Drosophila melanogaster: one gene and its partners. The gene in region 2 interacts genetically with the main gene of each other region. Each region holds a gene or a part of one and is shown on either strand. Other genes may lie near its edges.

Region 1 (10,350 bases), on a different chromosome or scaffold from region 2:
CGGGCAAGAGATTCGACGAGCACTGGGCACCAGTTTACAGCTTCTGCACGCCCTGCAGCGTTAACTTCACCATCATCGGCAAGACGGAGACGTTCCAGAGGGACTCGGAGTTCATCATACGGCAGGCGGGCCTGGAATCGCTGCTCCTGGGACTGGGCAAGCTGCCGCAGCGGAAGCAGCGCAAAATTGGCAACCAGGCGCGAAGTGGCGTTAAATCCGAGGCCCTGGTCGAGCGATACTTCGCCGATCTCGACCGCTCAACGTTGGACCAATTGCTCAAGATATATCGCATCGATTTCGAGCTCTTTGACTACGACTATCGCAGGTACTACGATATGGTGCATCCGTGGAGTCTGGAGCAGAGCACTGCCGCATCCGGAGGGCCGGCAGTCGCATCCACCAGTACGACACCATCGATATCCTCTGGCCTGGCTGGCCAGTCCACCCAGGGTCAGGCGACGTAGGTGCAGTGGTGTCAAGGAGTTTGGGATCGATCAGTCGTGAAACAATCTTATCATGTACCTTTTTACACGAAAACTCAGACCACAGACAAAGGAAACACTCTCACACGATGAAAACAGAACCCAACCGAAGCTAACAAATCTACCAAAAAGTTTATGGCCAAATCAACGTTTTCCAAAAACGAAAAACCAAAAAAAAAAACACTCTTGACCTCTCTTAGATAATGCCAAAAAAAGAAAGCAAACGATGTAACGATTCGAAAGGAAACTTAGTTAGAAGATTTAGCATTTTGATGGATTTTTTCAGCCACCAAAAATTCGGACAGGATACCCTACAATTTTACATGGCGTGGCATGTGTGTTGTGTTGTAGCTAGTTTATAAGTACCTACAATTTACAGATGCACTCTCAAACCAAACGAAAACACACACCCACAAGAAAAGCGATATATTATATATATATAGATATTATAGTTAAACGATATATACAGACCTCTTTACCTATATCGCGAATGCTAATCTTCAAGGCAAGGCTGGAGAGTTTATACAACCAGAAAGTGAGAAATCGTCTTACACCAAATGAAATTCTGTATTTACACGTATTTACAACCGAATCCCCAGATACCAAAACCCTCAAAAACCACAACATATGGTACTTACTATTGTTAAGTTATTATATATACCTATATATTAACGAAATTTATAAACAGGTCTTGATCTAAGTCTATAACTTTTGTGGACTCTAGATACGTTTTTCCTAGGCTAACGAAACAAGCGGAAAATATTCGATTTCCCGATATGAAAAAATTATGAAAATGATACCAAAGAACGAAAGGAAAGTGTTTAGAACTTATAAAAACAAAGGCAAAAACCCAACAGAAAAACTTTTCATGTGATGTTTAAGGATTTATTATAAAGACAGAGAATATTTAATTATTATACTTATACTGTATTTCGAATGATAATGATAACAGAGAATCGAAAAGTAACACGATATTATTCTAAATAAATTTAAATTTTCAAAACTTTTTTTCGTTGTATGAATACAAGGCAACAAAGTTATTAAGAATAAATAATCTCTTTACCACTCGACGTACCTGAAGTTTGAAATCATTTTGGAAAGTTTTCAGGTTTTCAACTAACTCATTCTGCAATATGCGATAAGCTCGTGCGATGATGGTGATGTAATATTTTTAAAAAGCTGTGTAATAGATTAACTTGCACTTTGCTGATATACAATAATTGTGTATGATTCACACCCAACAAACCGGCGAATATTGAAGTGCAGTAAACAATTGGCAGTAAAAGACCTTTGCTGGTTTGTTTCATTATTATAAATAGTTTATTTTCATTGATCAACACAAACGAGTTATTTTAATATGCATATAGATAGGGCTGTATGTATATAGTAGTAGTCATATGTATTTTCTTGTGTGCTCCACTGCGATTATTTGTAAAGTGTAATACAGCTTTAAAAGTGAATGCTCGAATTACGACACCAAACGATCGATCTACTCAGCTAGATGGTCTACAAATAAAATGTGTGTTTTTTGTGTGGCTTAGAGTTCTTTTTTAGTTTTGTTTCTAAAGTTTTATAAACTTCGATAACATTTAGTTGAAGCGCTGTGAGCCACACGGGTGACCGAAGCGGCAAAAAACATAAATAAATGGCGAACGACAAACATTAAGGTAGGAGGATATTTAAAATTATTTATTGCAGAATTTATTCATCAATTCTTTTCAGATTTCTTTCATCTCTCACGTTTTGAATGTGCTTCACGCGTTTCTTAAGTGTAATGTATATGTTTGTTTCACTACATAATAATAATAATAATAATAGTACTCAATACAAAGTAAAATAAAATAAAATAAAATAAGCTTAGCTTGCAACTAAAATTATGTACATGATAGGAATATAGATATCTGTATAGTTATATAGTATATATAATTAATTGTGTAATATGTACAACAGCAAATACTTTGTAACGTTTGCTTACAAACATAATAATTCTTTATCTTCTCCACTTTCGCTGTGCATAAGGAAACTTGGGATGCATAAGAGAACAATAACGTGGCTGGTGACCCCGATGCTCATCGCAGGTCACCAGCTAGCTATGCAAACAAATAGCTTGTGTGTATACAACAAACAGGTTAAATTAGAAATTCTTTTGGGCTGACCCTAAGGATTTTTTTTTAGCTCCGAGTTGACGAGATCTATATAGTTAAACATTCACGATTACAAGACTCAATACAGTGGATAGATAAACATACACACAGATAAGTGTTGGCCAGTTTCGGGCCACAGGGTCTTGTGTCAAATCCTTGTGGTCCAGACCTGGCCCTAGAGTTCTACATAGAGATGGAGACATGCATGCATCGGTATCTAATAGTTATCACTCGGTTTTGGACATCTCTACTAACATATGCTTAAACCAACTTCTTTGTCCAGGAGAACTACTGGCGCCATGGAACTCTCTGCTTTGCCATCTACTGCTCTGCTCCCCCGACTCTGATCCCTTCAGAGCCTCTGTCTCTTCGCTCTCTCTCCTGATCCGCCTAGTCGTGATCCTGTCCAGCTTGGACAGGGGCTTGCTTACTCCGCCAAGATCATCTTGATGCTGGCCACCTCGGACTCTAGGCGCTCCAGCTGCGACTTGAGCATTTGATCGCGCTCGGCACTGGTTACCACATTGGCCTCCTTGGGCGCCAGTAGCTTCCTCTGCAGCTGCGCCGTCCACTCCGCACTGGCGATGGAGATGCCGGAGTCCCTTTCGTCGCTGGAATTGTCGCCGCCATCGTTCCAAGCCGGCGGCGATGCCCGACTGCAGTTGGGCTCCTGCTTGATGTGCTGCAGTGAGAGTAGCGCCGTGGCCGCCGCATCCTTGTCGCCGAGATGGGACTTGTGGCGCAGCTTGAGGGGCAGACAGTTGTTGGCATCGCTGCCCTGCTGCGGACTGCTTCGCTGCAGCTGCAGTGGAGCCATGTGCGCTGGTTCGTGCTCCTGCTCATCATCGCCGGAAACAGCTCCCGATGAGGAGGCCGAGGAAAGAGTGGAGGAGGTGGTGGAGGAGAGCATGTGCTCGTAGCTGGGTGAGCAGGCCCGACGCGATAGATTCAGCACACTGGCCGCACTGCCGGACACCGATGAGCTACTGACCGCATCCACAGCACTGCTGCTCACAGCAGCCTCGACATTGTGGCTCCAGGCTGCAGCCGCTTCCAGGTGATCCTTATAGGCGCTGGGAGCGGGCACGTAGAGACCAGCAGATGGTGGCGGTGGTGGTGCTCCCACCACGGCTGCCGCATTGTATAGAGCGCCGGCGGCCACCACCTTGCGCAAGCTGTCCAGATCCTCGGGCCTGACATTGCGGTTTAGTGCCTGCTGCAGTTGCACCTGGAGATTGGCAATGGTGGTGCTTGGCGGGCGGTTGTGCGGATCGGAGATGACTGGCGAACTGGAGCCGGCACTGGGACTTGGCTCCTGCTGCTGCTGTTGTTGCTGCGGTGGCTGGGAAATCTGCTGCTGCTGATGCGGCTGATGCTGCTGCGGCTGTGGCTGGTAGAGATGCTGTGTCTGGGACTGGGGCACAACCAACTGTTGTAGGTGCGTTGGTGGCGGCGCAACACCCGCATGATGTATGTGGTGGACACTCTTAACCGTGGCCTCTGGCCGGGCATTGCCATTGGGTCCGTAGATCAGTGGAGATAGTGGTGGACCCACCGGATAGCCATTGTGGCCACCTTGAGGCGATCCCTCGCCCGATCCACTGCCCGAGGGCGAGGAGCCCGAGGAGGAGCCACCACTGCCGCTCATCTTGGCGCGCTTTGTGTTACTCAGCACCTGTTCGCTGGTGGGCAGCGAGGCGAGGATCTTCTCCACGCTCACCAGATTCTCGCCGGAGATGTTGAACTTGTCGCGTATGGCGTCCAGCTGGGCCTTCAGCACATGGTTCTCTTTGGTCAGCTCGATGACGCGCTGCTCCAGAACCATGTCATTGTAGCGCCTCTTCTCTCGACTCCGCTTGGCCGCCTCGTTGTTCCTTCTCCGGCGATCCCAGTAGCTCTCGTCCTTCTTGTTGTCCGGGGTGAATTCGCGTTGCTTTCGCTGCGAGAAGAGCTCTTTCTGGGCGGCGGTCAACGCCGACTGCGGTCCATTGCCACCCTGTGAGGGCGACTGGGCCATCATTCCATCTCCATAGCCGCTTCCCGGGACATATTTGCCCAGACTGTCGGACATGCCGCTGTCATTTGACTGCGGACTTATGGATCCTCCGTACATGGACAACGGATGCACTGTAAGGAGAGAAGGGCATAGGATTAGTTCTCAAGCTTTGGAACTATAGATGGATAGATAATTGATATGATCAGAGCCACTGCATCATTATATTCTCGGACACTTACAGTTAGAAGCCTCGTTGGAGCTGCCGTTCATCGAGAGAGTCGGCGATATATTGGATAGCCGGACGTTGTTCATCATGGCGATGTTGGCTTTGTTGTGGCTGTTGGTGGGCGTGCCGCTGAGGACCTCGGGCATTGCTGTGGACACAGACGCCTCCGGATAGAGTTTGCCCGGCGGCGCTAGCAGGAGCAGCTTCTCCTCTTTGCCTCCGGTGGGGGGGCGTGGCCCGTAGGGAAAGTCGCTGCCGCTCAGCTTCTGCTGGCTGTAGTGATGCAGCTGCGCTAGTTTCTGCTGCAGTTGCTGCTGGTGTTGCAGATGGCTGTTGTTGCTTTGAGCTTGGATGCGGGGAACTGCAATGCAAAGATAGAGAGGTTAGTCTCTTTGACATTCATAGTTCCTTAAGAAGGGACGTATTTTATTTTATTATATTGCTAAACTTATTTATACCTTTAAAAAGTATTGTATAGCACTTTTAAGATCTTTTAAACTATTTCAACTATTCTCTGTTATGAATTCAAATTAAAGCGTTCTACCAATTTGTACAACACTCATTTCCTGCGCCTGGAAGCAGACTACACTTTTTGCAGCCCCGAAAATAATAAACAAACAAGACCTTGCCCCCAATTAAAAGCCAAGATTGCGAAGAATATCTCTTTCCTGCTACCAAAACAATATCACTTATCACCTATTTATGGCATTTCTTTCAAATGTTCTTATCTAGCTACATATGCGACATTTAGAAAATATATACATATTTAGTAATACTAATCAGGCTGAGCATTTGATAAGCTAACAAATTGACAAGGCGTCCGCCACTCAACGCAAAACTCGTTGGGTCCCCAAAATGTCTAATGCGATCTTGTCTGGCCCAACGCACACACAAACATGCAGAACTTTCTTTGTTCGTTGGTCCTTGCCCTTGCTGCTTGCCCTCGTCTATAGCTTTACCGTTTGCTTTCGTTTTTAGCACAGGCATTTACACAATGATTACGCCGAATGATGCAAGAATCGGCGAGTGGGAGCGAGAAAGAGAGGGAGCGAGAATTAGACGACAAAGGCGACGAAGAACCAGCACAATCACACACACACAGACAAAGTGTTAGAATGTAAACAAGAAATCGCACATTGCACATCTGTGTGTGAGTGCGCCCCCGCTCCCGTACCCTTAGACATCTTTCTCCCACTCTCTTTCTTTCTCACTCACCCTCACCATGACCATCGAATTGGCATTTACAGTTCAATGTGCTCGCAGACACAAACACACACACACACACACATGCACGTACACTTAAGCGCTCTGGCGGCCAGACTCTGCCGACAACCCCTAAACGGGAGAGCAACAGAGAGGGCAACACAGAGAGCAGCGCTGCAGTCGGCATCTTGACAAAATTCACAAAAACAAAATGACTAAGCTTCGCCAGTCATTCCACCGCACCCCACTCAGCCCCCCATTCACCCACACTTTTTCGGGCTATTTTGTTTTGCGTCTCAATCTTTCGTGTGTTATTGTTTTCAGCCGACTAAGTTTAGTAAATATTCTAGAACTGATTAACAGTTGCCACTGTACTACGCAAAAAGAGCAGAAATATTTAAATATTGTGATTGTCATCAGTTTTCACACAAATTCTCAACAGATTTCAAGATCAAACGTGGAAAGTTCGAAAATGCTGCTCAAAGAAGCACATAGTTTTAAACTTTTCGTAACACTGATTTATTTGTTATAACTTTCGTAGCACTTGAACACCTACATTTATTGTTGCTGGGATTATCCTGCTTGTAGTTATTGATGTAATTCGTATCCGTATTGTTTTTGAGTATCAACAGATTTTTGGTCGTTGCAGCCGCTTTGAAAAAGTTCACTTTCTGTTCCAGCGTGCAGACAATCGACATAATGTTTTGTTGTTAGAACGAACAAATTGGCATTGTTTTTGTGTGCGCTTGCAGATATTATCCAAATCTTTTGAAAATTGTTTTTCAAACACTTGTGCAGTTCGGGGTTTAACCAATTTGACCGATTTAGTTGGCTAACGCGACGTTTCTGCGCTTGATGCACTTGGCCGAAATGCTTTTAACGGCTCGACCGACGGCTCTCACTTGCTTATCGCGGTTGTGAACCCGATCGGCTGTATATTATATGGTTTGGTAGTATAGTCTAGAGACTTATCGCGAGCGCCTGAACCGCTTCGAAAGAAGGCTGAATCGCAATTGAATTTGTAAAAGCATTTCTCCGACGAGCTGCTCGGCGGTCACGTTGTGGCAACACGCATCCGATACACGCGACCTAGCGTGTTCGCTCGCAACATGTTGCGAACGGTTCGATGCAGTAAAAGTGAAATTTCTCAATCGCCGCTTCGAACATGTACCAGCATGCCCGTTGCAAGCGATCACATTGCCGTTGTTGTTGAGTAATCAGCGCGGCAATCTCGGCAAGAACAAAATCGTTTCGAGCTGCATATTCGAAACTAGAACGTGATTGCCTGCTGCGGGGGGTGGGGTAGCTCTTGCCAGCGGGTTCGCTCTTGACGCTCAAACACACACAAGAACGCACACACACGTAAGGTGACTGAGGTGCTTTGGCCGCGTGAGTCCGATTTCGATTGCGATTCTTATTCCCATTCTGATTCCGATTCTCGGTACTGGTTGTATTCATTTTTTTTTACCCTTTTTGGGTTCGATGTGTTCGTGTGAGTATGCTTGTGTGTGTGTGCCAGTTGGGTTGGTGACGCAAGCGTCTTACACAAAATATTCAGAGAACCAGCAGCACATTATTAATAATCGAGAATGCATTCAAATGCACACATGCAAATGGCTGGGGAGTTGGGAAAACTGATTTGAATGAAAAGCTTAGGCAAGACACTTTTTTAAGTTGCATGTAAGAGTGGATAACTAGAGGAAATTTCCTTACGTATTTAATTAACATTATGAAAGGTAATTAAAAATTTAAGAACATTGATAAGGAAGCAAAAGTATTTGCCTTAAGATGTAGCTTATTGATTTGATTTTAATGTATAGCATTAAAGTACATACACATACGTACATATGTATATTTGAAGTTCCAATCAGTGAATTTTTGGGTTTCCCCACTCTACAAACATATTTGCGTTCAGAATAAATTCCCAGAAAATCTAATTCGAGTAGAGTAAACAGTAAACAGTGCTAGCTAACTATTGAACTCGTCTAAATCTGCATACAATTACCAATTTATTTAATGTACGACGAACAAATCGACAGATCACGTGGCTTTGAAACTTTGGATAGTTTAACAAGGGGAATATATGGTCGTGCCGATAACTTCCCAGCCACCAAACTGTCTGGTTGGCTATTACAAAACCACTTCACAGCTTATATAAATCATAATTAAGTGCTTAACACTGCGATACGGTTATCAGAATGGATGGGGTGACTATCAACTTAGTTGCAGTGGAAGACAAAGACGGCTATTTAAGTACTACACTAGGCAAACAACGAGTTGTTGTAAAAAAGTAAGGTCGGGAGATATTACGTAATTTCCTATTCACCAGGCAGTAAAACACTAACGCGGAACAAACAGTGAATAGTATCGAATCGAAAGAAGAAATTCCATTGAATTCGCATAAAAACAGTTCTCGATGGCGATTACCAAATGCCAGAAAACCGGAAAAGTGGAGAATAAATGAAATGAAATACATATGTATGTACATAAATACTGATTAAAGTGCAATACATAAAGTGCACTTTATCAGTGCTAATAATAGAACTAAGAAAACTATATTGCATTAAGTCAGTAGACCACTGTATAATGTTAGTGTTTTAAAGTACGAGCCTATAACTGACCTATCCTCCTGGGGCATAGCAATTTTCTACTAAATATCGTTACCTTATGTAATCTGGCTATACACTTGGCAGTTTCAATTGCACAGCTTCCAGTTCCATGATCATGAGCAAATCTCAATTACGCGATCACTGCGCGATATCCACGTGAGTCGCCCGATTCACGTGTCCGGACCAATCGTAGTCGGATCCGTCGGGATGGTGGGCCAGACCCCCCCGACCAACCCCTCTGGGATACCCCGTAATCTGCGGCACATCCATTATCAGTATGCAAATATGTATGTGTAATGTGGCCCTTATCACACTCCACTCTGTTTGCTGTGGTGTGCTGGTTTGTGTAGTGTTTTCTATACTAACATTCTGCCCCGGGATGCCAACACTCATCTTTTGGTTTGTTTTGACACACTCATACTCGAATATGGTATAGGGTATAGGGAGGAATTGCTGTAGTTAGCCCAAAACGGTTACGAAACACTTTCGTCGTCGACGTCGACGTCGACTGTGTAGTCTCGGATTCTGCTAGCACCCCGTGAAAAGGCGATGTGGAAAACCCCCTGCTCCACCCCTCCCCATTCCACTGCATCAGCAGTCAAGTTATAGCAGCGCTATTTATATTTTCCGCAGCAAGAGGCGTGCGCGCTGACTCGACGTTCGCCGCTGGACGCTCCACGTTCGACAATCGGCAATCCAGCAATCCCGCCACCCGGCAATCCGACCACCCGGCTATCCGGCAATCGGCGGAGCGGTCACGTGTCGTGGAATGTGAGGCACCAGCGGCTAGTGCAACGCTCCCCAACAGCCGGCCTGCGACGGCTCACATGTTGGCGACTTGAGTCGGCTACGCAAGCCAAATGGAAATTAACGTGTTCTCCACTTATTGCGTTTGTTCCCTAGCTGATACAGTGGTCCTTCGAGAGAAGGAACTGCTATCTACCTAAGAAGTAATATCTAGCTTATAACCTGATATTTACAAATAATATTTTTGAATTTTTCCTCTAAAAAGATGCTTACGTATGCGTAATATTATGTATACGCATAGTGTGCTGTATAAAGTATACGACAATATTACGTATACGCATAGTATGCTGTACTTCGTATATGCAATATTATTACAGTTCACTTTTGTGAATTTCCACTGTATCTAGATTGATTCCAATACTAATATTATTTTTTTTTCCATAACACCCTCCATATGTGCGACTTGCAGGGGGGCCCAATCCCAATAGAAAAAAATGCAAATCTTCGCAAGAATTTTGTTTGCACATTGCATTGATTGCTATACGCCAAAGGTTTTTGTTGTTACTTGGCAACGTGCTCGCTGGAATTGTGCCGCTGCGGTAATTGTAGTTGTAATTGTCACAACATGTAATTCTTACTGTTGTAGTAAGCAGATAGAAACGAATAGGTGTATACCCTATAATGCGATGACTTAGGATGACAAGTTATACTGCCTAGTATACAGTTAACACACATTTAAGTTGACTACTACTTCTAATCTTGGTATAGGTCATTTAGGAAAATCAATTTCTAGGAAATGCACTTGAGTGAAGTGTTAAAACGATTATAACAGACGATGAAAGTCCACGTTATTTAATCAACTTAAAACAAATAATAATTGTCTGTGGCTTCAAGTTACTCACATTATTCGTATTTCCATTTATGACTTTTTACTTTAGAACTC
Region 2 (6,646 bases):
AGTCCCTCGCCGGGCATCGTTACCACCTGGAGCTGGTACATCTCATCGCGGACCAGCGTCTGACCCGTCATGTCCGCCAGGAAGCCGTCGCGGTCGCTGTTTGTCCTGAATTGCAGCAGCTCCTTGTGCGGCTGCAGACGCAGCGCCCAATTTACACGGTGAATCTGTTGAACAATGAAACAAATGGAAGTATGATCTTTATCTTATCTGGAAATGTAATCATTAAATTGATGATTCGAACCTCCAGAGGTGCACAGTATTGGCGTTGCTCGACTGTGGCCAAGTTGATGGCATTTACAATACTTTGGGCAGCCTTGAGAATGATGCCCGTATACCGGGAGTCGTTCAGCTGCAATGGCAGCCAATTGAGGCAGGCACACCAGTGAGGCTCTATGTAGGCATCCGCACAGGATCGATTGCTCGGAATTGGATCCAACAGCGACATGGCACGTCCACGGGCTAACTCCGAGATGCGAATCCCAGGCGGGCTTGTTTCAGTTTTCGGATCGTTTATTTCTCCAAATTGATCCACAGCGGTTTGCAGTTCTGTGAAAAATCCAGCATTATTATCTTGTAGATGTCTAACGCTCTGTCGTACATACGTATTACGTGTTTCAGCGTGGCATGAATGTCGAATGGCGTGGTCAGGTGATGCTCGTTGGCCAGAAAGTTTTTGTACTCCTGCGGAAAGCGCTTCTTAAACGACTCGGGAAATACGAAACTGAAGAACGGCAGACGCTCTTCCTGTTTTCCCTGCAGAGTGGCTCGCACCTCGGCAAATCGATTGCCATGATCGGCCATCATGATGAGAATGGTGTCGTCTAGCAGCGATCGTTCCTTGAGCGCCACCAGCCAGTCATGGACATCATCATCCGCTGCTCCCACTAAGTTGATGGAGTCGTGGGACAAGCCGCCATGGAAGCTGAAGGCAAAGCGCGGTGCATCGCGATACTTAAGCATAAACTGTACGAAAATTATACAATGAGTTAGTTTCCAAGCACATTTCGAAAGAGAACATACGTTTTTTGTGTACTCCAGCATGGTGATGTGATCAGGCTGGTGGCCAATGCAGTTGGGCTTGCTCTCGGCGGCCATGTGCTCCGCCTGGACATAGTAGGTACGCAGGTAGTGGTCCACCGGCTGGGCCTCAAACCCTGTCATGCGGTACGTGAAAGTGCCCACATTGGGCAAATCCTCATTAAAGGAGGTCATATATCCCAGGCGGGCAAAATCCTTCCAAATCATAGGATACGAATCCACGCTGCCTGCCCCGGACAACCGCTTCCTTGTCTCCGGCAGCTCCAGTTCCGTGAAACCCGTCAGTAGGGGCACCAGCGCCTGTGGCGTACCATCGCCCACAATGTTATAGCCTTTGAGAACGGTGGCGCCCAACTGTTGGGTGAGATACTCGTAGGTCCTGGGCAGCTTGCGAATGAAGGCATTGCGACTCAGCGAATCGAAGCCAAACATGAGGACATTGTAGATGGGAGCTGTGGCCCCATCCTGCATCTGCTGCTGGGCCTGCGCAACCGCCTCGGGTGGTAGGACGGCCAAGTTCGGGGAGAAATTGGAGGCCGGTGGACGGGGCACCGTATCCCGTATTCCGTGGGCCATGCCAAACCAACTAAGTACATGAAGATCATTCTTTAAAGTATAGGCATAACTATAAAATAAGATAATGGTCACCTCTCGCCGCTGGAGGATCGACAGACCACCTTGACAAAGTCGCTGGCCTGCAGCACATAGGGCTCCTTCATGCGCAGTGACTGCCCAAAGCGAACCTTGTAGTCCGACTTGCGAATAATGTCCGTGTAGGAGCAGATCACATCCTCGTGGCTGGACGCAATCTCTGGTCGCACAAAGCAAATGGATTTCTTTGGGGGAAACGAGGTTTAAGTTAAGCAATCAGCTCTTGTAGAAGGGGCCCAGTCCCAACCAACCTCACACATGACCCAGTCCATGCCCTCGCCGCAGTTTATTCGCTCAACCGGCTTGTAGAACTTCATGATGTCCGGATTGTCCAGCGGCAGATGGGGATGCCGGCACTCGCCACGATTCACAGCCGATCTTATGGAGCGCTCGATGATTTCGCTTTAATTAAATACAAAATTGAATTAGTTGCAAAAGATAAATACTCTTTATCACAAATATGCGCATATGTACATATACATATGTATGGACAAACATCGTACAATCAATATCCCAAGCCGCTGTGACGCACAACTAGACATACTTACATTTTGAGGCTCTTATCCAGATCCCGCTCCACGTTCAACACATACCAGGTGACCAGCAGGACCACCACACAGCAACATGCTGCAATCTTGGGGACAGTTCCCCGCCGCACAAAGCGCATTTTGAATAAATTATGAGCTGCAAATATCGGACCAGACACATGAGACTTGCATTCGCATTATTGCTGCACATACAGCACTCACTCGGCACTCAAGCGACGTACTACTTACACCACTGCCGATCTCCAAACTTGCCGCCTATTCGACCTTTACTAAATATCCACGCTCATTTTTTAAATTAAACATTTAACTTATCACCAGCTGCGACGTACCGCTATATGCGAGTTGCCAAAACAGTGGCAAACAACATTGCGAATTCGGTCATACTGTGTTGTTTGGCAACGCGACCGCTGCAATTTAAACTGCGACTTTAAACTTTGCTTTAGGTCCGATTTAAAGTCGGTAGAACTTTCAGTTTGCTGTAGAACGAAATATACCGTTAGCTTATCGTTAATGATAGTGCTTTTTGCTATCAAAACACCATGTGATACAATCGAACTTAGGCGGGGATTAAATAATGGTAGATACTCCCTTAAATTTGCCGAGTACTTTACTTACACTCAGCATGTGACAAAGTAAATTCTATTAGTACCAAAGTTAAATAAGCCAACTGACAATTACTAAGAATAATAATTGGAAGAGAGATAAAGATCTGCTCCCACGATTATCTTCATATCTGATTTGGAGACTCGCCAAAAAGCTTGCGACAAAGCTCGCAGGCCGAGAACCGCGTCCGTCCGAAGATTCAGTTGTGCGCCAAGCTCAGCTTCGGCCTCTTCGTTTCACTCCGCTCCGCTGTGGCACCTGGTATCGTCCATATTATCGCGCCGTTTATTTTGATAACTGCTTCTGCGGTCGGTCTGTAATATTGTTTTTAGGCAAAACATTATCCGCAAACCACTGACGACGTCTTGAGAAAGGACTAACGAGGTCCGATTGCGCAACGAAAATGCTAAAGCCATCGATTATCTGCCTCTTTTTGGGCATTTTGGCGAAATCATCGGCGGGCCGTAAGTAAATAGAAGACTGCCAAGATGCTCATCTGCTGGACATGACTAGCTTAACGTATTTGTTTTTTTTTGCCGCGGGCCTTCACAAGTCGCTGGAAACCTGTTTCCGTACTTCCATAGCTAATGACCTAATTTATGTATTCACAATATTGGTAAGCTCTCTGAACCTAAAGTCTGGATTTCCAGAGTTCTACTTCCCCAACGAGGCGGCCCAGGTGCCCAACTATGGGCGCTGCATAACGCCGAATCGGGAGCGTGCGCTGTGCATCCATCTGGAGGACTGCAAGTACCTATACGGCCTGCTGACCACCACCCCGCTCCGGGACACGGACCGGCTTTACCTGAGTCGCAGCCAGTGCGGCTATACGAACGGCAAGGTGCTCATCTGCTGTCCGGACCGCTACAGGGAGAGCTCATCGGAGACGACGCCACCGCCCAAGCCCAATGTAACCAGCAACAGCCTTCTGCCGCTGCCAGGACAATGCGGCAACATCCTGTCCAATCGCATCTATGGCGGAATGAAGACCAAGATCGACGAGTTCCCCTGGATGGCTCTAATTGAATACACCAAAAGTAAGTAGAGGGGCATCGTCTTAAGTCTGAACGCACTTATCCACTGGTTAATTCCTACATGCAGGCCAGGGCAAAAAGGGTCACCATTGCGGCGGATCCTTGATCAGCACAAGATATGTGATCACAGCCTCGCATTGTGTCAACGGAAAGGCACTGCCCACCGACTGGCGGTTGTCCGGTGTTCGTTTGGGCGAATGGGACACCAACACTAATCCCGATTGCGAAGTAGATGTGCGCGGCATGAAGGACTGCGCGCCACCGCATCTGGACGTGCCCGTGGAGCGTACTATACCCCATCCCGACTATATACCGGCCTCCAAGAACCAGGTCAACGACATAGCCCTGCTGCGTCTGGCCCAGCAGGTGGAGTACACCGACTTTGTGCGACCCATTTGCCTGCCTCTGGACGTCAATCTGCGGTCGGCCACCTTCGACGGCATCACCATGGACGTGGCCGGCTGGGGCAAAACGGAGCAGCTGTCGGCCAGCAACCTCAAGCTGAAGGCAGCCGTGGAGGGATTCCGGATGGATGAGTGCCAGAACGTCTACAGCAGCCAGGACATTCTCCTCGAGGACACACAGATGTGTGCCGGCGGCAAGGAAGGCGTCGACTCCTGTCGCGGTGACTCCGGGGGACCGCTCATCGGCTTGGACACCAACAAGGTGAACACCTACTACTTCCTGGCCGGCGTCGTGTCATTTGGACCGACTCCGTGCGGTCTGGCCGGATGGCCAGGAGTTTACACGCTGGTGGGCAAGTACGTTGATTGGATACAAAACACTATTGAGTCCTGATTGTAAAATGTCATATTGTAAATAAATTCGACTAACGGTTTCCGTTTAAAAACTGCTTCACAGCGTGTACGCATACTGCATGTCGATGGGCGCGTTCGCCGAAATATTGGCATAGTCAATCTTTTATTTTGTAATGAAACTATTAAATTAAAATTGACAGTCATAATACTTTCAAAGGTACATTTTTTTTAATCAATTAAAAGGTAAATTGGGCAAATTATTTTGCTTTATTAAAATGTAAAGAAATAGTTGCAATAAAAAAACTAAATTCATAATCGTTTTCAAAGTCACTGAAAATTTTACTGCTGAACTCACGCAGATTAAATAATCATATCTGGCAACACTGCAAACTGGCTGAGTAGTCTGGCAACGCAGACATATTGGTGGTAAAAATGTTGAAGAACATCTACGTAACGCCGTTAAATTTGCTTAAATCGGCCACCAGCCTGCAGCAGCAAGTGCGGGTAAGTGCTCTCCTGGATTAGGGAAGCGATCCCCATTCACCACCAATTTGCTTCCAGACCACGTTCGTCCTGAAGCGCAAATATGACCCGCCGCTGCACAAAACCAACGAGAAACCCCGCCGGATGAGGGCCAAGAACTTCATCTACGAGCTCGTGGACGACACGCTGGTCAAAAAGCGGCCCAACATCGAGGTGGTGCTAAAGACCTTCGTCGAGGGCGTTGGCGACAAGGGCGACGTGGTGTCAATGAAGCCGCACTTTGTCTACAATAAGCTCCTGCTGCCGGGTTTGGCCGCGTACAATACGCCGGAGAATGTGGCCAAGTACGCCAAGACAGAGGCTGAAAAATCGACTGTTAAACACAGCTCCCCCTACGCCCAGCGCACGGTCAACATGCTGGAGACCATTGTGCTGGCGGTGGTCATGAACAAGGATGAGCCATGGGTGCTCGAGCCCTGGCACATCAAGGCCTCGCTGCGCAAGACTGGGTTCTATTGTCGCGAGGAGTGCATTACCCTGCCCAAGGAGCGCATCGAGGGACCCGACCTGAAGAAGGAGAACAAGGACTTCTACTGCACTGTGACCATAAACAAGCTGGAACAGGCGCGACTCAAGTGTCGTCTGCACCACTGGAGCACAGATCCCAGCGAACGGCTGCCTTACGTACTCGAGCACTGGAAACTCCAGTCTGAGCCCCTGCTGGATGTATGTTCACCCGAAAAAACCCCTTAGAGACCCCATACCAAATACATGCGATTGTTACAAAACTGTTGATTTATGAACAGCCGGAAAACAGAGTTTATTTAACATTTTTATCAAGTTGTACGACGTGGATACTTACTTAGGATTACAAGTCTATATGATGTTAATATAGTGCACTAATGCACAGCTTTCAGTTCCACTTCGAAGACGAGAGTGGAGTTCGGTCCGATCTTCGGTGGAGCTCCCCGTGCGCCGTACGCCATGTGCGGGGGGCAGGTAATGACTCGCTTGCCGCCCACCTTCATGCCGGCGACTCCCACGTCCCAGCCCTTGATGACCTCTCCGCCGCCCAGGGCGAACTTAAATGGTTTTCCCTTCAGGAGGCTGTCGAAGGTCTTGTTGTTCGACTGCAGGCGGCCGATGTAGTAAACAGATACGCGTTTGCCCTGCTTGGCTTCTTCGCCTTTGCCGACGACCTGATCCACAATCTTCACGCCTCCGGTGATAGTACGTGGATCCTTAGAAGCTGGTTGCTGCTTGGCTGGCTCCTTGGCCTTGGGTTGTTCCTTCTTGGCCTCTGGCTTCTCCTTCTTCTTTTGCTGCTGCTTGGCCTCCTCCTTCTTGGCCACACCGTTCTGCTCCTTGCCAGATTTCTTGGCGCTAGCGCCAGGAGAGAGCTTGGCAACCTTGGCCTTTGGCTGTTCCTCTTCAGCTTCGGAGTCGTCGCTGTCCTGTTCATCCTCCTCGCCACTCTCCTCGTTATCCTCATCAACATCGTCGTCATCTTCCTCCTCACCATTTTCGAGGA
Region 3 (7,643 bases), on a different chromosome or scaffold from region 2:
CATCATCCCCATAACCAACACCACCACCACCCCCAACGCCCCATCTTCGGCGTCATCATCATCGTTCAATGTTCGTTTTATTGTGGTGAAGTGCTGCTGGCGTCGACGGCGACGCCGGCTTCTCTGCTGCCAGCTGCCCCACAAAATATACAAAAACAAAAAAAAGAAAAAAGCAGTGGCTGAAAAAAAAAAGAATCCAATGTGCGCCCGCAAAAGCAAATAAAACTTTATCATTTGGGGAAGCCCTGCGCTTTCATAGACTTGCCTTGAATGTGTGGGTGGTGTGCATGTATTTGGGTGATGAAGAGGCTTGCCAGCACACTCACACACACACACACACACGCACATGAGTTCTGCCTTGTTTTTCCCTTCTTTTTTTTTGCCAGCTGCCAACTTTTCCCTTAATTTCTTGTTTTTATTTTTTTTTTGCTGTTTGCCATTGCCCTGCAAATACATACGTTTGTTTGTAAGTATGTACGTTTTTCGTTCGGTGTGCCAGGTCCTTTTGCTACAGGTATGGGGTTTTATTTTTGCTCAAACTCATAGGTAAAGTTGGGCCCTGGATTTCAGTTCACGTTTATTTATTTCCCTTTTTATTTTCGCTGCTTTCCTTGTTTTCCTTCCCGTTTTTTTGTAATTTTTTGGTTCTTTTTGTTGCCCTCCCCGCTGCCATGACCTTTTTAGTGGTCGAGAGGGGGCGGTGACAGAAGAGAGAATTTTCTGGGCGTGGCCTAAAAGGCGTCCCAGGAAAAGTTGAAGTGTAGTGTTTGTTTACGGCTATGATATGGCCCAAAAAAGAAGGGGCTAACCAATTTGGCAGATTGGGTAAACTGTGACTCAGGAAATTGTATTCGTTTAGGGATTGTTGCCTGATTTTTGTAAATTGTATTGGATTAAGCCAGGTTAGTAAATAACTATACCATAAAAGCTATAATGTTAAGTTCATGAATCATTTAATAATTAATAAGGATAATAATCTTTAAACACAAAGGAATCAATCTATTGAAACGATTTCAATTTGAAGCCAAATAGAGCTTTCCCTTCTAACCCAACCAGTTAATCCCGAGCTACAAACGGAATCAGAGCAATCATCAAATGGATATGGGCTTCGTTTAGGCCACACCTAGACCTACATAGGCAGTTACTAGCTAGCACTTGAGAGGACTCCAAACACGAAGCCCACGCCCTGCATCACTTCCTTCCTGGCTGCCATAATGAAAAGCAACCCCTCTTGAATGGCAAAAACTACGCAAACTAAAGGCTTTTCTTTTTCATTCGAAAAGGAAAATGGAATGCGAACGGGCCAAGCAAAGTTGCCAAAGGGAAACAGAAACAAAGGTAGCGATGGAATGAAAATACTCTCAAATAAAAGTGCGGGGAAATGCCAGCCGCAGGGAGTGGGTGGGATTTCCTCACCCAACTCCATTTCCATTTCCATTTCCATTCCCTGGTCTCTAGTCCCCCGCCATAAATTATCCGCACAATGGCCCAGAGCCAAGGCAAAAGGCAATGCGAGTACGGTTCCGAGAACCCTGAGCAAAGTCTATTTTAATTTTGACGTCGTTAGACGAAGGCGAAAAGAGATTACGGCCAACTCGCTGGCAACGCAAAGGCAAAGTCAAAGACAAAGACAAAGCCAAAGCCAGCTTAAGTGTTTCGGCCCAGCTACCCAACCTCAAAGATCAAACTCAAACTCAAAACCCAAACCCATACCCATTCCTATTCCCATTCCCCCAACCATACTCAAACCCATACCCAAAGTCGTCTGCATACCAAAACCAAAACCCATCGGCAGCTGGAAGTCAAGTTGGAGCCAAACTCTTTGAGCATGTTGCGCCTGCTACAGTGGGTACTCCATGGAAGGACGACTTTCATGTTAAAGGTTTGATGATTTTGAAATATATTTAAGAAGTATTTCAAATAATCTCTCTCCAAGTTGCCAAGTATTTTCAATTGGTCATGGTTTACAAAACAAAATGGTTGAGTTAAAGTCTCAACAACATTGTTTAAAAAGTTAAGTTGTTATTATTGTTATTAAAACAATAATATTTCGAATATAAATATTTATAACATTTCAGCATAATTGGTTTAAAATGCTATAAAATAGTTTTAATATATTTATTTAAGAATGTTATATTTAATTACTGGTTTATTGTTTCAAAAGGCGAAATAAAACGCTCACGTTGTGACATATTAATTAAATCAAGTTCAATAAAAAAAAAGTGATTGATCGGATTGAATATATTCAATTACTGGTTGCCTAGTCGGTTTGGTTTTGAAATGAAAAGTAAATTCATTTAAAGCATTTAGCTGCAGCTGATGGAATGCGCACTGTATCCGCCCAGCGAGCAGTACTTGGCATATATCAAAAGCCAGGCAGCACACTTGTATCTCATTTGGCAAAAGTATCTGCGGATGTCGCGGGTTGGGGCGGGCACAAGAAAGTATCTGGCTTTTTAATAGGTTCAAATTGTGGCATGAGTAACGCAGCGCACAGAGCAACTTGACTAACAGGCGGCGTGACGTGACGCAAAGTATCTCGGCTATAGCGATTGTGGATGTGCAAGTCGAGTATCTGTGACTGTGCGCCTTTTGTATCTGTATCTTTGTATCTGCGTATCTGTGAGCTAGGCTGCCTGTTGAGCGGGTGAGCTGCGCCAAAAGTTCATGACGCTGGCTGAGCTTGATTTTCAGACCATTTTACATGGGGCAATTCCGATTGCGACTGGCTGGCAAACAAGCTGCCTTGTTTGCGTCTGTTTTTACGTTTTTTTTTTCTTCTGTTTTTCAGCTTCTCTGCTTTTCACCCGCTTTCTGTTTTCCTTTATTTCAGCTCTCTGTTTTTCCCCCTTTCTTTTGCCCATTTCGTTTGTGTTTTTGTTTTGTTTGCCGCTGCCCTGTGAGTGTGCGTTTGTTTGTGTGCCTGTTTGTTTGTTTGCCTTTTGTGTGCGCTGGGGGATTACGTAAGGGAATCCCCAACATTTTGCAGCGCGCGCGCCAACGCAACTGAATTAAAATGATAAGGGGACTGTGGGTGGTTGGGCGTGGGCGCAATGCAATGAAAAGTGACTACTGACGCTGTTGTTTCATGTTTTATGCATGCCCTCCCTCTCTTTGCTCTCGCCCCGTCCCTCTCTCTCTCTCTCTCTCTTGCGAGTGGAGCACTCATGGCACACAAATAATAATGCAAAAAAATATATATCTTATAGATACAGCCAGAGGTTTCGAGTGGGGGCGTGGCTGAATACTACATACATTCTTAATTACATATTTTTCCCTTTGAGCCGCCAAGAAAAAATCACTGCACTTGACGAGATTCTTTGAAGCTCTGAAGCAAGGACTTACTGTCTTGCCATATGGCAGCTGTGAAACTCGTCGTCCTTGAGCTGAAGCCCAATTTTTTTAAGACCGCTGGAGTTCTTTTAATAATCAACAAACTACTTGGAGTGAATTTGTTATCAAGAACAAAGCAGTCAAAGTTCGATCTTATAATAGAACCACTAAATATAAAGATTCCAAAGAAAAGTCAGCATAGAAATTGTGGATATTGGGTCCCTTTTCCTTGTAAACACTTTATGGAAACGTTTGCAAAATAGCTTAAAATCCTTGAGAAGAGGCAATTTCCCGGAATTTCGCTGGCATATTTTCGAACTCACGCTTGATTTGAATAATTAACAGGAAAATGTACTTACTGCCTCGACCGCTGCCCTTGCGTCGCGCCATTTTCCCTGCTTCAAAGTTGGTGTCCCGTTTTGGCGCTGTCCGCTGTCCGCTGTCCCGTTGTCCTTTTGCACAGAACAATACTGCTGGAAATTAGGATCCTTGCGCTTGACTGATGTATATTTAATCAGAGGCCGCCTACCCGCTGGCACGCCCACTTGCGACACTGGTTCTGGTCTGTTTGTATGGCACAACAGCAACAAAGCTTGTACGTGTGTCGACGTCCTTGACGCACACAATGACAAGCGTCCTTGTTTGTCTGAGCGTATGAGCGCGCGCGTGTGTGTGTGTTTGTGTGTGTAAGCGAGTGTATGGGTGTGTGTGTGTGTGGCCTGGTTCCCGGTTCGCTGGTATTTGCCAACTAGACAAATAGAGGAGCCATGATGTCCAAGTCCCTGGTATTATCCTGATATGCCGCTTGCCTGTCGACCTGGTGGAGATTGCAACCCGCTGGCTGGCATCGCTGCTATCCTGCCCAAGTCTCAGTATCCTTGGTTGCTGTAATTGTGCTATATAAATCCATGTAGGCGTATCCTCTGCTCGCTGTGTAAAAAAAACCTCAATTCGGAAATGTTCGGTTTGATATGCCGTTCCTTATTTTTGTTGTGGTAGGTTTTGTTTGATTTGTATTACTTTTGACAGACCCTGCGTATACGCAATATTCGCAACTAAATCGCGCGCGCCGCGAATTCTTTCAGTTTTATGTGCTGCGTGTGTGTATGTATGTACACTCCTTATCAACACTGTTTCATCCGAGGGCCTCACTTTATTTCATATATATTATATATCTCTTTCGAAATATGCGCTATATGGCTGTTGCGGAATCTATTAATAAAACGGACATGTTATTCACCATGCGTTGCGATTTGACTTGATTTGATTTCGTTGCTGGCTTTTTTGCGCATTTACCGAGAAGTGCGAGAAGCGCGCGAAAACGAGAGGCGTGCGTCGACGTCGGCGTTCACGGACAAACAGAGCCAGCGAGAATCCGTTAGGCCCCCAAAAGCCAAAGCCAAAGCCAAAAGCCCGAACGCCAAGAGCACACCCAAAGTGAGCTCTCTTTTGGCGCACAAATGAGAGAGCCAAAGAGCGACGTAAGTGGCTTTCAATTCGACCAGCCGTTTCGTTTCAATCGAAAATCGCCTTTCAACTTGTCTGTTTACCTTTTTTCTTTTCCCACTCACAGAGCAGCGAAGAGAGTTCGCTAAGAGAGTCGCCTTATCAGTATTGTGTGTGTGTGTGTGTGTCCAAAGCTTAAATGCCAATAGCAGGAGCTCCAGATGATAAGCGTTATTTACTTGGCTTACCTGCGCTGTGATAATACCTGGGTTGTCTGTTTTATCAGTTTGCTAATTTACATTTTTAAGATTATCCACACAATTGATAAAAAGGTAATACTTTTCTAAGCCTAAATGTATGCAATATCAAAAAACAACATGGTGCTTCAGTGGAAAAGCATTGATTTAGGCGATTTGATAAATTAATTATAAGGAGTTGCTAAAAATATAAACATGTCATTATAATATATTTTAATAATCATAAACTTGGTGGGACGAACACACAAACCTTATAAACTAGCTGCTGCAACTCGCAGCGAAAATAACGAAGATAAACATTTAATTCATGGTTTAAAAATTATTCTAAATTATAGATGAAGTTTGATTCTAAGATATGTACTCTGTTGAAACACATTTTAATTACTGCACATAGAATCGTATCCATTCCAATGATAGTAATGTTTCGACTTAATTTAATATTCATATGCATAAAAATAGCAAATTCGATGAATTAAATGAAGACGTTTAAATGAAGGCGTCCTATTCTTTGATACAGCCATTAATGTTTCCGATTCATTTAAGGCAGACACTTTGGGCCCAGTCGAAAGCTGTTCGAGCCGCAACGCCTCGTAACGCCTGGTGTCGAAAGGCTGAAATAATGCGGCTTCAAAGGAAATTAAGTGCTGGCGAAAATATGTACATATGTGAAGAAAAGAAGAACATATCGCAGAACATTGGCGATGGCGATGTCAAGTGGATGGGATTTTGGCTGACAGCTGTGAGAATTCCCAGCCAAAGTGACAAGTAAAAGGCGTGGCCTTGAGCCTCATTTGCCAGCCCCAAAACGCCAACGGCCGCCCTTCAATTTAAATTCATATGGGAAGATATACGATGTTTGGCCTAAACGACTTTCAATAAATGTGGTTTGTTTCTTTTAAGAATTTTCACAAATCATTGATATTTATTAGAGCCGCACGCGTGACCACCCTAATCACATCACTCATCCTTATGTTCAGAGTTAACCCCCCTGCACCCCCCCCCCCCTGTGTTATACTATGCTCCATCGTCAATGAAAACGAATATATGTACTATGTTCGAACAGCTGTTCTTTGTTTACAATTGGCGCAGGCGCCCAATTGGAAATTGTTCGTGTGCGTGTGTATGTTCGCCCGGCTAGAAGGCCTTCCAGTTCCAGTGCGAAAGCAGTTCGAAACTGGAAGCTGGAAGGAGGGGAAATTCGTGGTGCCGAACACTTTGGCGCCAAATGAAAAACGTCCGTCGGAATTTCACTTGCAGTCGGAAAATAACAGAGCGCGTGAAAGGATCACAGTGCGGATCAAACAGACCGGTCTGTTGAAAAGTCAGGGAAATCCAGTTGAAAAACGAAAGTAACAAAATTGAAGAAAAAAAAAAAATTATTTACAAGCTGCCTCATAAAAATTCCACACATCGTTTCAAAAAAGTGTGTTTGCTACATACTTCTATTCTTCTATCTAAACAGAACCATTCCAACCAAATAAGCCAGCAAAAGAAATAAAACGCAAATGTGAGTGCCATAAAAATAATGTTCAATTATCACCAAATTTAAATATCATCAATTTTAATTTCCATAAAATGAACAAAAGAAACCGCAACGGGTGTCTGAATGAAAAACTGGCGCAAAAAAAAAGAAATATTATTCATACCTTCAATTTGAGTGGAAAAGGGTTTCAGAAATATGTTGTTTTATTTGATATTAAAAGAGTTTTTTTTTCCTGGGAATCTATTTAATTTGATTGATGATTGTTCGTTTGATGTTACTAATTATTTTTACGCCTTTGTTCTCAAATATGACATTAATTTGTATATTGTAATTTTTGTATCGGAATTCTTTTAGGTTGGTAAACAAAATAATTCAGTTCAATGACGAAATTTTTTCGTAACCTTTTATCTTTGGTTACTGGGGTGAAACAAAAGGGTAAATAGCGTATAATTTGAATATAGGACGGCTTTTTATTTAATTCCACGATTTCATTGTACTGCGATTTGGTTTCAGGCTATTTTGTATTGTATGATCTTGAATTTGTGAAATGGCAAGGTATCTTTCATTATGGAAATTTGGCAAAAAGATAAAGGAAACATTTTAATATTCAGCTCTGTATTTTGCAAAAATAATTATTACGTTTTATTACGTTTACGGTGGCCCAAAAATCATTTGATTTTAATAATTATAATAGACGTTTTTGAACTTCCAGCGCTGCGAATGAACAAGCATTATTTTCCCTTATCCCATTGATTAAAAGTAGTAAAATAGGAAATTCATTGTTCGCCATGACCTTTTATGTTTCGGTAAATGGCGGTAAACTATTCTAGTTCCGTATTTCGGACCACACAAAAATGGCTGCTGTTAAATGTTCTGTATTTAATTGATCATATGCATAACGAATGGCGTTCCCGAGGAGTCTGAATGCGATGCCCCCGGCTAAGTTTGGCTTTCTTTGTGTGCGTGTGTGTGTGTGTGTGTGTGGGTGTAGTACTTGACCACGCTTTGGGCCAAATGGGAATTCGGGCGAACACAAAATATCAATCTGAAAGCGGAAATCCTACCACAATAGGAAATTGATGTCCAACCGCATCAGCCAACGCAAACCCGTCCAAAAACCCAAG
Region 4 (7,443 bases), on a different chromosome or scaffold from region 2:
CGTGGAGAACATGAATAATGTTATGGCTACCGAGCATCAGCAACAAAAGGAAGAGAAACGCCCAGGCAGTGGCCGTTCGTTTCAGTTTGATAAGTTCAATCAAAGCCAACAGAATTACGAGAGTAGCAGTTATGTTAATCACCAACAGCCGCCGCAAACGCAGCCTCAGCAAATGCAGCAGCAGTCGAACACAAACACGAACAACTCTAAATTCATGTCATTCTTTGCCAATGAGGGGAACTCCTCGTCTTCTTCGCTGAACGAGTTTTTCAAGCAGGCCATTAACCAGGGTCATGGCAACAATCCGGAGCAGCCCAAATCGTTGGGCCACATCGGACAGATGCCTTCGGTGGATCAGCTGGAGGCCAAATGGCGTCGAAACTCACTGAACAATGTTGGCGAGACTGCCAACAAGCAGACTGATAACTTCCAGAAGCTAATTGGGTCTCTTTCTTCGGCTAAGCCACAGTCACAGGCGGTTGGCTATGATGCCATCTCCAACTTTATAATGCAGCAACAGCAGTACCAGCAGCAGCAACAGAAGCAGCACCTCATCATACAGCAGCAGCAGCAACATACCGCCTTTTTGGCGAGCCTGCAGCTGAAGGCGATCCTCGGCCGGGCCGACACCCAATTGCTACTGCTCCGTCTGACTAAAGGTGACGATTGGATGATGAAAACAAAGTTAGTTCCATGTTTTCAATATGATTCTTTGGTTTGTTTACTTCCCAGGGGAAATATCCAAGCACGGATTGCTGGTGCAGTTGGCCAACCCACGCTTGACGGACATGGATCGCGAGGCCATCACTGCTGTATTGCAGTTCACCAACACCCAGCAGCAGCAGCAGCAGCACAAGCAGCAGCTGGACATGCTCTCAAGCACGGTCATCGCCAGCCAGTTGCAGAATCTCCACAACTTGGCCATTGTCCAGCAGACTCTTGCAGCCAGGCAGCAGCCGCAGCATAATCCACAGACGCAGGCGCCGCACCAACTGTCGCAGGAGGACTTGCAAGCGCATGCCAATGTGATAATGCGAAACGCCGTAATGAAGCGAAAAATTGAGGAGCAGACCTCGAAGCTTATCAATGGCGGTGCCAAGCATCAGGCACAGCAGCAATATCTAAACCGTGGCCAGCAACGCCAGGCTCGACCAGATGCCAACTCGAATGCCTTGCTCCATGCCTTGATCTCTGGCGGTGGCAATAACCACGCCTCTGGTTATCCTATGAATGGACAGCCGCAGAAGCATCATTCCAATTTGAGATTCGGTGATAACCAAAACTTCCAATCTTTTGAGTCCAACCAGCCGCACTTCGCCACGCAGTACAAGCAGCAATACCAACAGTCTCAGCAGCAACATCCCCATCAGCAGCCCCAACAGCTGAATTCGCTTCATCAGAACAACGCTGGAGCTGTCAATAGCTTCAATAAGGCCCAAATGCAAGCTCAATCAGCTATTTCCATGCTGCCCAACAGCGGGGGTAAGTCATTTTAGTACCTAATTTAGAAGATCTATTATATTATGATACAATCGTACAGTGGGTACTCTCCGTTAAGTTTACCCTATCATTTGTGCTTTGAAAGCAAAGTCATCACATATAACAGTTAGATTTGTAGTTTCTTGACAGCGTTATGGTCATAGTTCTAAAAGTCGGGTTAATACCCAAGGGAGGAAATTTATATTTTTACATTTGTGCTGAGTTGTTATCATTTACGGTAATATTATAGTTAATAAGCTGCCTAATGGCCTCCCCTTCTTGGTATTTCGCTTATGTGTCTGAGTCAGACGGTCAATTTTCAGGCTGATTTTTCGAAAGCAGAGCAAATATGCACTTTGATGACCACTTTCACGTATTATCTGTAAACGGGTTTTTGTTACTGCAAACATTGCACACTTTGCAATGCACTTGATCACATCTGCGATATATTTACAAGCTGTTGATTCAGATTATCACTTGAACGCCTCTACAAGGATGAGCTGGCTGGAGTTTCGAATCAGAAAGATAAATAAAACATGAGAGATAGGGCATTTAGTCGAGCTTAATATATATATATATATATGTTTTTTCTTTTAAACTAATAGACCTTGTTTACACTTTTCGTTAATACATCGTTTAGCCCTAGAAAACATTAGGACTTTTATAATGATTTCATTGATGAATAGCAATTGAATTGTATTAAGCTAACAAACTTTATCATATACTTGTTTCTAAGCTGCGCTTAAATTCCCAAGCTTAGCTGGCTTCCTTGTTTGTTCAAGAGATCACCAGAACGTGGCTAACTACGCAAACTTAAGATTTCCCAGTCGAACAACATCTCAGCCAGCCCCCTGAGTCATGGGTTCTATTTGCCGTCGACTATGTGCGCAATCGGTTACCCATCGATCTCCCCATTGGATATTGCCGATGTTACGTTCGTGGGACATTCCCAGAGTTAGCAGGTATTTGCATCTCTCACTTGATTGCTGCCTTTTGCTTTCAATTGTTCGTGGCATGCCTGGGCGAGGCATAAATATAAAAACAAACATTTAACGACAGCACCAGTGGCTTTATCAGCCAGCGGAATGTTGTGGCCTGTAGATGGGAACCGACTCGCTGGGGGAATCGTCGCCACGCACGATTACTGAAAAAGGGGTCAAGAGCACAGATTCGTTTCTCGTTTGTAGGATTCAGCAAAATGTATTAGAAAGCTTATCCACTTGCAACACTTTTCACATCATATTAAGGTTAACTGAAGCGCAGAGACTCTCATTTGTTTGTATATTTATTGCGTATTTAAAGATAAAACCGCCTGAGAGGCTTAGTTCTGGGTGGTGGGTGAGTGGACTTTGCCGGCAAACAGTATGTTACCAGTGGACTCCTCCTCGATAAAGAACACAAACGGCCGGTTTACGTTGAATTCCTCGATGGCGGTGCTGCCACCGAACTTGTTTTCGATCTCCACAACGGTGGCTGCGTAGGCCTCCGTTCCCTTCTCGTTCACATTAATGCCGGCCTTCTGCAGGATGTTAGACACCTTTACTTTGCCGGCGACATCAGCGCCGCGGGTTAATCCCGGCAGCGAGGCGCTGTCCTCAAAGATTTCGCGCACACCCAGGCTGCGCAACGTCTCCTTAAGGTTCTGCTGGTAGTCGAAATGGAACTTGGGCAGCGTCACCTTCACTTTCACCTCCTCCATGGCCCACTGAGCGCTCTTTAGCTCGTCGTTTTCCAGGTTCTTGACCAAGTCATGGATGCCATTCAGGGCGTAGGGCAGCAGGACGAACAGGGAGTTCTTGCCCTTGTAGGGCAGACGCAGAATCTGCGCCTTCAGCTTCTCCGAGGTGGTGTAGTAGAAGTAGTCGGTCTGCTCCATGAACTCCGCCCGCGACTGGTCGTCCTTGCTGCGGAAGAAGGATCCCTGGAATGTGGTGGCAAACTGCCGCCGCCACAGACCGTTGAAGTAGATCAGATTGGTCAGCAACATTACGCTGCTGCGCACGTTGTCCGGGGCTACTAGCTGCTGAAGTCTGCCCTGCGTGATGTTGGCGGCCCAGGCGTTGATGGCATCTGCCGCCGCCTCGGGATTGGTGAAGTCTAGCGCCTCCACCTCGCTGTCGTAGAAGTGTTTCAGCGTGGCCGTGAACTTCTGCTGTGTCTCGATGAAGCTGTCCGTGAAGAGCTTGGTGCGCACACTGAGCGTCTCGTGGAGCTGGTTCTCCTTCTTGAAGGAATTAAGTGTCTTGCGGTAGAACTCCCGCACATTATTTTGCGATCGAATGTCTGTTTGCGTGTTGGCCAGCTCCACTTGCGTCTGGGTTCCGGCTCCGGCCGCCTCAGCCAGCAGGGCCAGCACCAGTTTGACGGAGAACGGCGAGATGATCACATTCTTGTCGGCTGTCTCGTTCTGCAGCACCGTCTTCAGTAGATGCCATGAGAACGGATCGTGCGAGTCGCTCCGGAAGGGCACAAAGGTATCTATATCGTCGTAGATACCCGCTCCACTGGGCACGCTGGCAGCGCCACCGGGCAGCTTGTCCGTACGGGTTTCGAATACGCCCTGGGGCGTCGTGGTCGTCGGTATGGAGTTGCCGTTGCCCGTGGCTAACGCACTCAAAAACAGCGACAGCAGCATCACTGCCAAATTTCCGCCCATCTTTGTCATCTGTGCTTCCCTAAGCTTCTGCGTCTCGATCTTCCTCGGGTCTTTGCTTTCAGCCTCTTATTCGCAGCAAAACAACTGTTAAATGCGGGCTTTGGTGGGGCGAGCGGCGAGAGAGCGCCGGTGGAGCGAGCGATAACCGTTTCACGCGCCGTTCCAACTGAGAGTGACTGGTGCGCCGAGCGGGCTGGCCATTTTAAAATCGAGCTCCAGCTTCAAGCCGCTCTTGACGCCGTCCTCTGCTGCTGTGCTGCCGCGTCGACGGGGCAGCGCATGTGTGTTTTTTTTGTTGGGACTCCCAAAGCATACGTACGTCATTATCGCAAAGTGATGAGTGTGGTTAAGTGATGAGGGAAGTGAAGGGAAACGACTAGACTATACAGTGCATCAGTGCACTCAGAGAATTTCCATGCCTGTATTGACAGGATTAACCAAAAAACCTATACAAATATTTAAGGATCATTCATCATTATGAATGTTATTTTGTTATTTTGTACAAATTAGTTGCGAACAATATCCGCCTTTATTAGGCTTTCCCCACTTCAGCTATTTGTGAATTATTGCATAGTCATCAAAGAGGAAAGTTTGCAAATGTTATTATTCTTAAACTACGTCACAGTTTCTTTCACGCCCGCTGCAAATACTCAAGCCAGTTTATGAATAGCTATTAATAGAAATTTGAATTTCAAATAAGCTTAAGTTGTGTCGGGGATAGTCTGGCCACGCTGACAACTATTATAGAACTCAGTGTTGGTAAGTGTCGGCTAAACAAAACAGCTGATCTGAAATAAATTCTCATGGTGCGTTGATGTAACAGCAGCCGGCGAAAGAAACTTGTGCATTTAATGAGAAATAAATATAAATAGCCAAAGTAACCGCACGTGCCATGCAAATTCGTCGTCCGCGTGGTGTCACTGTTCCGCAATTGATGGTGGTCACGGCCATTGGGCTGCTAGGCGGTATTTACATTTGGCAACCGCTGATTTTGAAGTACAAAAACGAGAAGAAAACCGAGGCAGAAACGCCAGCAGTAACTGAAACTAGTGGAACCACAAAGTTAGCCCGCACACTAAACCCTAATCTGCTGGCTAAAGTCATATATTAATTGAATTCCGTTCTCGCCCACAGATGAGTTTCATTAACGGCTTCAAAAGATTCGCCACAACGACGGTTGGTCTGATGGCCATCGGTATTGGATCGACTGTTATATTCTACACCACCCATCGCCTTGTCATCAAACCCTATCTTCTCGAGAAACGACGCCTGGAAGCCGAGGCCAGTGCGGAGTACCTCTTCCAGCAGGAGGTTCACTCCCAGATTGGCGAGTCAAGACCCAAACGGAGCGAATATTGAGCCAAGGCTGCCAGTGCCGTCATAGACATCTTTACATACTTATAGCCTAGTGATTAGTTACCAAATTTCAACGCTGTAACATGGTGAACAATGAATGGACTTTTACTTTCTTACCTTCACTTTGGGTGGAGAGGCCCATCTTCTTGTGTTCATTTTAGAGTTAAACAGAATGGATTTTTTATGAAAGTAATATGAATTGAATAAATAATGAAAAGCACAAATGGTTTGAATAAAAGACTAGAAACATAAACAATTAAAAATCACTGTGCTCTGTTCACCGTATGCCTTTGTACAGGCTCAGGGAGCTGCACTTGTCCTTGGCCTTTTGCTCTTGCTTTCTCAATATCGCCTCGCGCTTATAGGTGGGAAAGAAGTTCCACAGCGAAAAGGTGTCGTCCAGTCCGCCGGTGGCAATTTTCGTTCCATCCGGATTCCACATCAGGAAGAGGGTGCCGCGATCCTGATGGGACATCAAGTCAACCACGCGGTTTAAGGAGGCCAAGACCAGAATTTCGCACACTGCAAGGTCCGCATCATCTGTAGATATTAGAATACATTATTTTTAGCAAGCATTAAGGATCCAGTGCAGTTCTCACCACGCCGAATAACGTTGACCAGCAACTCGCCCGTGATTTTGCTGTATGTTAGTGTCTTTATAACGATTCTGTCATCCCTGCGCCTGTACGAAGCCACAAATTGTCGGCGCGGGATGTTGAATATGAAGATCGACGCAGGGCTTCGCTCCGCTGTTAAGATAATATTCATGTTGCAGATACTCTAATAATTAATCTGCCACTATCTTACCAACGGCTAAATCCTCTCCAGTCCACGGATGCCAGTCAAAGACTATGGACCTGCCGTCCAACTTGAGCAGGCGAACCTTTAGCACCGCATCGAAGATGAAAATCTTGCCATCCGTATCACTGGATGCGAAATACTTATGGGTGGGAGCAAACTTCATTTTCTTCACCGTGTGTCGATGCTCGCGCAACTGCATCAGGGTGTTTAGCGTGGGCATGGCCAGCACGATGATGACGCCGCACTGAGTGCCGCAGATGACCTCTTTGCCGTCGTGGGACCACTCAATGCAACTTATGTAGCCCATGGACTTGAAGAACAGCTTGCGGTAGGAGACCAAGAACTCCGTAGGCGACCTCACCTCCCAGAGGTCCAGAACTTGTACGAAAGAGGAGGGTTAGGGCTTTACAAAGTTATTGCTTAGGGTCTGTTATACCTGGATAGTTTCTATCCATGCAGCCGATTGCCAGGTGCTTGCCATCCGGCGAGTACTTGAGGGAAGTGGGCGACTCGACGCTGAAGACCATGGTGCTCTCGTCCAGATTGCGCCACAGCATGACATCCTGTCCGGAGGACATGGCCACCATGCCGCCGGACGACCAGTCCATCATGTTGTAGTCGACGGGACTGCATATGCCAGGCATCTCATGGGTGGCATTCTGAATGGCATATGGTCGCGCCCGTGGATTACATGGCCAGTCCGAATCGGCGGAGTCGTTATCGACCACCCTGGATCTTGTGCCCTGCTGGCTGCTAAACTGAAACAGGCGGCGCTCTCCGATGCCAAAGGTTCGGTTGATGTTCGATATGAAGCCGCTCTGTCGCCAGTAGCTGGCGGTCAAAGTGACACCCTGATTGTAAAAGTCATTTTCAATTAATAATGGAAAGTATATATAGCCAGAAGTACTGCACACACCGTTTCGAGGATATCTCGCTCCTTCCGCTTGCCAATGTACTTCAGGTTGAACTCGATGTTCTCCCGCTCAAATCGGTTGGGTATGAATCTTTCGCCGACATAGGACACCTCCTGCCCCTTGCTCGTATCACTCTGCGCGAAAAGAAAACTACGTTTAGGTGGTCAAATTGTTTTGAGGCCCATCATCTTACCTTGTAGGCCGCCTCCTGTTTCCAGTTTTTCCGCCGCACCTTTT

What was found.
Region 1: of ea (region 2) and vri, changing one enhances a phenotype caused by changing the other (phenotypic enhancement), as found in Drosophila melanogaster (one study listed by BioGRID).
Region 3: of ea (region 2) and shn, changing one enhances a phenotype caused by changing the other (phenotypic enhancement), as found in Drosophila melanogaster (one study listed by BioGRID).
Region 4: of ea (region 2) and Spn27A, changing one suppresses a phenotype caused by changing the other (phenotypic suppression), as found in Drosophila melanogaster (one study listed by BioGRID).

Annotation. Positions count from the first base shown.
Region 1 is NT_033779.5:5,302,424-5,312,773, reverse strand, and holds vri (vrille), read right to left. Parts: upstream 7,125-10,350; 5' UTR 6,750-7,124; coding exon 6,608-6,749; intron 5,210-6,607; coding exon 4,862-5,209; intron 4,754-4,861; coding exon 3,054-4,753; 3' UTR 1,551-3,053; downstream 1-1,550. Other genes in the region: CG14024 (uncharacterized protein), read left to right, coding at 1-464.
Region 2 is NT_033777.3:15,325,690-15,332,335, forward strand, and holds ea (easter), read left to right. Parts: upstream 1-3,039; 5' UTR 3,040-3,243; coding exon 3,244-3,304; intron 3,305-3,393; exon of another isoform or gene 3,394-3,490; coding exon 3,491-3,877; intron 3,878-3,941; coding exon 3,942-4,672; 3' UTR 4,673-4,719; downstream 4,720-6,646. Other genes in the region: CG6236 (uncharacterized protein), read right to left, coding at 1-164, 242-546, 603-963, 1,021-1,624, 1,687-1,874, 1,941-2,091, 2,238-2,356; mRpL9 (mitochondrial ribosomal protein L9), read left to right, coding at 5,065-5,136, 5,194-5,868; Fkbp39 (FK506-binding protein 39kD), read right to left, coding at 6,015-6,646. UniProt on the Drosophila melanogaster protein: Component of the extracellular signaling pathway that establishes the dorsal-ventral pathway of the embryo.
Region 3 is NT_033778.4:11,170,855-11,178,497, reverse strand, and holds the start of shn (schnurri), read right to left. Parts: upstream 4,696-7,643; 5' UTR 3,724-4,695; coding exon 3,693-3,723; intron 1-3,692.
Region 4 is NT_033779.5:6,669,032-6,676,474, forward strand, and holds Spn27A (serpin 27A), read right to left. Parts: upstream 4,317-7,443; 5' UTR 4,145-4,316; coding exon 2,801-4,144; 3' UTR 2,034-2,800; downstream 1-2,033. Other genes in the region: cup, read left to right, coding at 1-659, 733-1,482, 5,270-5,283; CG34310 (uncharacterized protein), read left to right, coding at 5,028-5,197, 5,275-5,494; cort (cortex), read right to left, coding at 5,769-6,031, 6,091-6,240, 6,299-6,670, 6,729-7,143, 7,209-7,340, 7,400-7,443.